Daphnia pulex: one gene and its partner. The protein of the gene in region 2 binds, or shares a complex with, the protein of the main gene of each other region. Links are inferred from orthologs where the notes say so. Each region holds a gene or a part of one and is shown on either strand. Other genes may lie near its edges.

Evidence for each region.
Region 1: the proteins of geranylgeranyl transferase type-2 subunit beta-like (region 2) and synaptobrevin homolog YKT6-like are in contact, whole or in part, in a crystal structure (PDB 6J7F), measured with the Homo sapiens proteins. The link is inferred for Daphnia pulex from reciprocal best matches to the Homo sapiens genes RABGGTB and YKT6. Residues at the interface, in NP_004573.2 of Homo sapiens: Thr3, Pro4, Gln5, Lys6, Asp7, Ile9, Lys11, Tyr37, Leu45, Trp52, Leu236, Asp238, Cys240, Arg281, Gly283, Asp284, Met285, Asp287, Phe289, His290; in NP_006546.1 of Homo sapiens: Lys60, Gln62, Asp63, Leu65, Asn83, Glu84, Tyr85, Pro86, Ser87, Leu153, Asn155, Thr156, Glu158, Arg189, Lys190, Cys194, Cys195.

The regions. Positions count from the first base shown.
Region 1 is NC_060026.1:12,911,318-12,915,005, reverse strand, and holds synaptobrevin homolog YKT6-like, read left to right. Parts: upstream 1-1,624; 5' UTR 1,625-1,848; coding exon 1,849-2,041; intron 2,042-2,110; coding exon 2,111-2,211; intron 2,212-2,270; coding exon 2,271-2,441; intron 2,442-2,509; coding exon 2,510-2,647; 3' UTR 2,648-3,020; downstream 3,021-3,688. Other genes in the region: UBX domain-containing protein 1-B-like, read right to left, coding at 117-345, 407-895, 959-1,156, 1,245-1,297; Golgi apparatus protein 1-like, read left to right, coding at 3,324-3,545, 3,623-3,688. UniProt on the Homo sapiens protein: Vesicular soluble NSF attachment protein receptor (v-SNARE) mediating vesicle docking and fusion to a specific acceptor cellular compartment. Functions in endoplasmic reticulum to Golgi transport; as part of a SNARE complex composed of GOSR1, GOSR2 and STX5.
Region 2 is NC_060019.1:10,894,473-10,898,117, forward strand, and holds geranylgeranyl transferase type-2 subunit beta-like, read right to left. Parts: upstream 2,357-3,645; 5' UTR 2,139-2,356; coding exon 2,136-2,138; intron 2,054-2,135; coding exon 1,745-2,053; intron 1,685-1,744; coding exon 1,526-1,684; intron 1,458-1,525; coding exon 1,351-1,457; intron 1,281-1,350; coding exon 1,174-1,280; intron 1,103-1,173; coding exon 786-1,102; 3' UTR 727-785; downstream 1-726. Other genes in the region: uncharacterized protein LOC124191180, read left to right, coding at 1-288; sterol regulatory element-binding protein cleavage-activating protein-like, read right to left, coding at 2,689-3,645. UniProt on the Homo sapiens protein: Catalyzes the transfer of a geranylgeranyl moiety from geranylgeranyl diphosphate to both cysteines of Rab proteins with the C-terminal sequence -XXCC, -XCXC and -CCXX, such as RAB1A, RAB3A, RAB5A and RAB7A.

The DNA of each region.
Region 1 (3,688 bases), on a different chromosome or scaffold from region 2:
CCGCCTCTTTCTCCCCCAACACACTCTTTCACTCGCTCGACTTTGTTATCAGATACAAATACAAATTAAATCTCAAGATGAGATAAAAAAATTCGTTTTTCAGTCTTTTATAATTCTCATGCTTTTGATACCATCAAAACAGCACTTGGAACTAATCCTAGCACATCGAGTGGCTTCTCGAACTCTTCTTCGGTAAATACTTTTCTAGGAAAATTTGTTTGAATCCGAAATGGTTCCGGCACTCCGGCATTTACATCGGTCCTATTCATTTGAATGAAGAGACGAACTGAAGCTAGCTGCTCCTTAGCACCAAATGTTTGCGTCATTGTCGATCCATTTGGAAGTCTGGAAGAAATAATAAAGAGTTATGGAAGAGGGACTTGCGTCATCCAGAATGATTTATAACCTTATTTGGATTTTCGTCTCCTTATAGTCCTTGGGCTGATTGGGTGTTGTCGGTGCCGGAGCCGGAGCCTGAACTGGAGGAGCTACATATGGCGTATTGGTTGCGTCACCGGCTTTCTGTTTTCGTGCCAATTTATCTTGTTCAATTTGTTCTTTCACTCGCTGTCTGGCTTTTTTCTCTTCTTCTTTTTCGCGCCTCCGTTCTTCGGCAATCTTTCTTATTTCATCCTCTTCGAATTTCTTTTTTATATTGAGAAGCTCCTTGCCTGACTGTATTCTTCTTTTTTCTTGCTCCAGTTGTTCGGCCTTTTCTTTCTCTTCACGTTCTTTGCGCTTCAACTTCATCAACTCCTCCACTTTCCTCAGTTGTTCCTTCTTTTCTTCTTCAGTGAGAGGCTTCTTTTCATCAGTAGATTCTGAAAACTGGCTGTGACCGGTTTTCGCAGCATGAAATTCTACCTCTTCATTTGTGCGAAATAGTCTATTACATCTAGAGGAAATTTTAAAAAACATATGTAAGAAATTCAATGGTTGACTTGAGTTCCATACTTACTCATCACATTTAATAGATTTGGCAGTAACAGCAGCCATTTCAGCATTTGATGCTTCAGGTTGAGCAGCAGCATTTGGTTCTTCCTCTTTCATTTCTTGATTGTTGTCAGTTTGTTGATTGAATTTCTCACTGTTCACAATCAACCAATCCATTGCAGCTTCAATATTTTGGTCTCCAGTTTCTTTAATAGCCTTTTCACTTTTCAAATTTCAAAGAAATATAACAAAATATTAAGTTGCCATTTAAAAAATATAAAAGGTATGAATTATTTGGAATTAAAACTTACGCTAACTGTTCAGAAAATCCCATTTCTAGTAACAGTTGAAGATTTGATGACATTTTCGGTATTTCGTTCTTCGAAAAACAACAGAACAGAGGTATGTCGTCCGACTAGCGCTAGCAATGTCAGTATGTTATTAAAAAAGTGACGATGAAGCCTCTTCTGTTGGTGTGATTTTGCCCCAAAGATTTTTGTAAAATTTTGTGTTTTTTGTATTGAAATTTACATTGAAACCAAATGTTTTATTTCTCAAATTATTATTAATTCTACTAAAAAAGTGTTTACTTTCTTGCAATTAACTATAATTCAATTTAGCAATCTGATTAGCGCCAAATTAGCGCGGGGAAACAGCTTATTTTACGTTTATCCGCTAGAGGCGGTGTATTCCGATGCAACAAATGGGTTCTTCGGCCATTCCCGTTGTTTTATTGAACTTTTTCTCTTGTTGGTTGTCACTTTTTGCAGACTTCTATCGGATCGGATTTAACCGCTTCTGAGGAAAAACTCAAGCCGTCCACTTGAACCTTTAGTACTAATTAACAAAGGCCTCTCCACTTATCAGTAAGACGATTGTTGGAGGATCTTATATTTACTAGTCAAATCTAGAAAAATGGTGAAGCTGTATTCTTTAGCGATTTTACATCGCAGCGAGCAAGGGTCACCACAGCTACTTAGAGCGGCTTACGACCTCTCAAGTTTTGGATTTTTTCAACGAAGCAGCGTTCAAGAATTTATGGCTTTCACTGCCAAGATCTTGACTGAAAGGACAAGTGCTGCGTCCAGACAATCGGTGAAACAAGGAGGTATGTATGCAAAGAGTCATCATAAAACTCAATGTACATTATAAATTAAATGTTATTTCTTTATTGCAGAGTATATGTGTCACATTTATGTGAGAGCAGATGGACTCTGCTGTGTTTTGACGGCAGATCATGAATACCCACAGAGGGTTGCTCATACCTTGTTAACCAAAGTGAGTGCTACTTGTATGTTGGTTGAATTGAAATGATGAGATATTCTTAATTACAAAAGGTGCTTGATGATTTTGCTGCTCGGGTGGAATCATCTCTTTGGATAGAAGCAAATGCTGCCTGTGCAGCTTATTCTGGATTAGAAGCATCTTTGGCAAAATATCAAAATCCCAGAGAAGCAGATGCTCTAACTAAAGTTCAAGATGAACTAGATGAGACTAAGATTATTTTGGTAATTTAAGTCTTAAAGTTTCAATCTGTTTTAATTTTTTTTTAACCAGTCATGTTTGATTGTCATAGCATAACACAATTGAAGCTGTATTGCAAAGGGGTGAAAAACTGGATGACCTTGTATCAAAATCTCAAGGACTGAGTGATGCATCAAAAATGTTCTATAAAACAGCTAGAAAAACAAATTCATGTTGCAATTTTGGATAAGTTCTCAAGAAATGTTTATTTGATCACATTCTTGGAATGGTACTATTACTTTATTTTTTGAAGATGGTCATAATTCACATTCCTGAATGAGTTGAAATTGAAAGACATATGGTACAGTTATAAATTCATTTTTAATTTTTGAAGGGTGCCCAATAATTGCTGTGAACTTTTCTGTCCCACTCTGTTCCCGTTATGCGACAGCACTCATTTTCTGTTTCTCATAAATGTATCATATCGTAAATGATTGTGACGCTAATGTTAGGTATTTCGCTGACGTTGCATGGATTGTCGTCTCTATGATTTCATTTCACAGCTTACATCTGTGCCGCAGGTCCATCGATGTAAAAGAAATAAATTCTTCTTAATCAATTTATCAATTTGTCGCGTTCGTGGTTTATATAGTTTTGTTGCTCAAACCGATTCAAACGTAAACCGCTGAGAAGATTTTTTTTAAGCGGTACTTGAACAAGGTGGTTGCAGAAACCTATAAGGTTCTTGGGCAACAGATGAGAGATGATAGCGAAAGCGGAACAAACAGTAGACTGTGTGACGCGGCTGACGTCTGCTGTGGTCCCTGAATATGTTCATTCTGACCAAGTGTGGGATGTGACTGTTCTCTAATTCAATCTTAAAAATAAATTTCAAATCAACTGATAAGTAGTGACTGGAATAGAAGATGTTATTCCAAGGTGTTAGTTTTCTATTAGTGACCTTAACAACTTTTATTTCGGTTGGAGCTTTGGATGTCACCGGAAAAATTGCTACGAACCCGGTTTGTAAAGACGACGTGACACGTCTTTGCAGCTCTCAAATTCTTCCAAATGATTTGGCTGTTCTTGACTGCCTTCAAAACAGGAGAAGTGATAGTGATTCTGATATCAAAATAGAATGTCATTCTGTATGTTTCTTTTTTATTTTATTAAAGTACTCATTTCAGAATTAAAGGTTACATTTTTAATTTTTTTCTTTTTATAGTTCCTTTGGCAGTTCAAACTAAATCTAACTAAAGGTGACCAATTTTTGGAAGCTGCTGAAAAAATG
Region 2 (3,645 bases):
ATGTTTTACTTTTTCGTTTGCAAAACCGAAGTTTACAAAATGATTAGGGACCGTGTGGTCAAAATCAAGGAATCTGCTTCACGTGCCACCAGTAATTCGACAAAAATATCTTCGGGCTCCGTGAAGTTCTGGCGCTCACGATCATACCAAACTTCTTCGGATGAATCTCCTGCAATTGAGACCAGCGATTCCAAGCCCTCAAACATTGAGGCAATCAAATATCAACAAAATGGAGAAGACCTTGGAGAAGACAATTTAGCATATACAGGCGAGGTTCATTCAGCCTAAGATTTGGATGGAAAATATGCCAATTAAAGATGCGCGAAAACATACTCGTGGTGATTGGTACAAAAAGTGGTTATTGTGTTGAATAGACTATCATTGAGCTTTCTAGAAATATTGACAAATTTTATATTGCAATCCACTTGATGAAAAATAAATTATGTTTAAGAATAGTTGTCACTTACACTTTTTGAAGGCGTATTTCTCAGAAAATAAAATTTCTTCCACTGAACCACCTAAAATATTTAAAAACAAAAGGGTTGGAACATCCCTTTAATCTCTGGTCAAAAAGGGAAACTAAAAAATCAGGTAAATTAGAGTTAAACGGATACCAAACACGTTGAAATTTGTTTTAAACCAACATTGTAATGGAAATACTGGTGCCGAAAATAGATTACGTTTTACGCATGACTTGTTCAGTAGTTTGCATGTGTTAGATGTCGATTATGCAAAAACCTTTTTTGTATTCTGAAGGACAATTAAAGCAATAATTCATAAAGTTGCTATAACGACAACATCTGTGGTTGAATTTTCAGCCGGGAAATAACTTGCTGTGGCATACAGAATACAGGATTAATAGTTTTAAGACTAGATTCACCGAGAAGAGATAAACCCGCTAAACCAAAGAGGGTGTGAAATGGATCGGGCATGTCATTTGGGCGATCACTAAATCCGCCTGTCTCGACGTCTTGACAGGCCATAATAAATTTTCTCAACTGATTCTTATCAAGCCAATCAACTCGCCCAATAATCCGCAAAGACGCAACTACCCACCAAGAGTAGCAAACATCCGGCAATTTTTCTGGTCGACCATTCAAACCTAAATAACAATTGAGTTACATAGTTTAAGAGACGTCTATTTGAAAGATTTCTAAAAACAAAAGTAATTACCGCCACTCGGCAACTGCCGTTCACATAGCCACCAGCCAAGGCTATCAGCTTTGATCAAATGTAAATGACCTGTAATCGACAGCATACCAACACAGCAATACACTTGACTGAAAAGGTAACCACAAAAAAGAAACAGTATTATTTCTTCCTTTGTAATTATCTCAACTTAGAACTTACCCAGAATGACTTTCAGAGCCAGGTCTGCATCCAAACCCTCCATCAAAATTCATACATGAGATTACAAAATTTACTGCATTATCAATATTAATAGCATCCAGCCTTCCCTGGAGTAAAAATGTGTACAAAAATATGTGTTAATCATAAAAAAATTGCAATCAGTAAATCCACATACCAAAAGAGCCAAGCATGCAACTGCACACATAGAGAACCTTGTATCAACCTCACCCCATTGATCACCACAGAAACTTCCGTCATCATTTTGCAACTTTTTGACATAATTCACAATTTTTTCACAATCGATTGCATCAAGTGCATCATACAGGCACAAAATCTGAAGAAAAAAAATTCAATTTTCAGATGCATATGAAGTGAGTCAACTCTCATTACCAACCTGAACAGCACTCAAAGTGTAGAGAAGGTGAGGATCATGATCTACACTAGCTCCTATACCTCCATTTTCATGCTGGCATTGCTTTATAAATAAAATAATACCATCTCTGTCCATCTCACCAAGTTTGCCCATCAAATCCATTGCTGTTAAACTCCAATAGATTCCATTCATTCTCAAGTACTCTGTCATACAAAATTCATAATCATCCTTATTGTTTCCATATGCTGCCAAGAAACTTGCATGCTTTGGCAGCAACAGATTAGGTATATCAGCCTCCTTCGGTAGCACTATGTCGTTCATGAGAAGGGCCTAGTTCACATGTTCAAATAAACCATTTATCATATCAAAACTGAGACCGGCTTCCTCAAAATAATCATCTAAATATACGTACCATAATTGAAATTATATCTGTTACGCGGGAATGGTTAAGGGGTAGCAAGGGGTAGTGGATAATAGGTTCCAAGCTATCCAAAAATTATGGATTGGTGGATTTTCACTCTTAACAATGAAATTAAAAATTTATTTTGCAAACACAGGCACACAGACCACTTTGACGTAAGTTAAGCAGCATGAGCAGCTGACTGTTAAGGGGCTAGCAGACGGATCTTTTTCGATGCGACAGTAGCGCCATCGAAATTATAAGACATAATGAAGATTTTTAATTTTTTGAAGACACCATTTTTACGTAAATGAAGTCATGATCTCTAGGATAAACAAATTCCAATGAAAAAAAGTCGGTTTATTCAATCGGCAACAGTTTTGGTATGTTTTGTTGTAGAATTCAATAGCCTCTATGTTGTCATCCACAAACCCAATCACATGTGACACGCTAAAGTAAAAGAAAAAAAGAGAATCTGAAAAAGACAATGAAAAAGGCTGAGGAAAAAGGGGGAAAAAAAGGGAAGGAAAAAGACCAAAAAAAGCTAACAATTTTTCACAATAATTTACTCGACTTTGTGGGTGGAAATCATGGGGAAAGAAACGATGCGAAGCTGCGTTCCGTAGTCACAGATGACGTTGTCTCTGACGACCATGACGTTACGAACAAAAGTACTCGAGTCGGCATCGCCAAGACGAACTTCACGGATCGATTCTCCCGTTCGGACATCCCAGACGACCAGGGATCCTTGCCGACTGGTGACAAGTAACCGATCATTGAGCATAGCTAAACTGCCGCACAGAGCCAGACGGGACAAGGAAAGAGAATTGAGCAGATGACCCTGAAATCGCTCCCAAACGCACAGCTTGTCATCGGCGCCCAAGCTGATGACGTACGAGGAGGTGTAAGTCAGGACGGACACGCTACCGTCATGAGCCTGCAAACTGTAGACGCAAGTCCCGCTGGAGAGATCCCACATGCACAGCATTCCGTCTTGACTTCCGCTTCCCGATGCGCTGCAGGGGTAAGCTTCGTCGATAAACATGGCCGTGATGGGTCCGCGATGCCCGTGAAGACAGTAGAGGGCTGTCAAGGTTTCCAGTCGCCAGACTTTGAGGCAATGATCCAGCGAACCCGTAACGACGCGGCTGCCACTAGCCGAAGCGTCCAACACTGAGATGGGCTGTTGGTGAGCTCTAGCCCAGTTGAGCCGGACCAAACGGAAAGCTAATGGAGATGATCGGTCCTCTTCGTCGTACTCGTCGGCGCCACGACGAGAATGAACGTGGTGGCTGACATCTTCCACAGGACTGTCGAAATCGGCGTGAAACTGGAACGACTCCAGGACTCCATTCAATCGGGCAGCTAGAAGATACTCGCCACAAACTTTGAGTTTGGCCACTCCGACACCACTGCCGTCGTCGTAAAGACAACGCAAACCGGAATTATGGCTCCAAATTTCAATGCGTCCGTTGGCACAGCCCAGTGCCACTTGGCCATCGAAGCATTGCATGCACCAGAC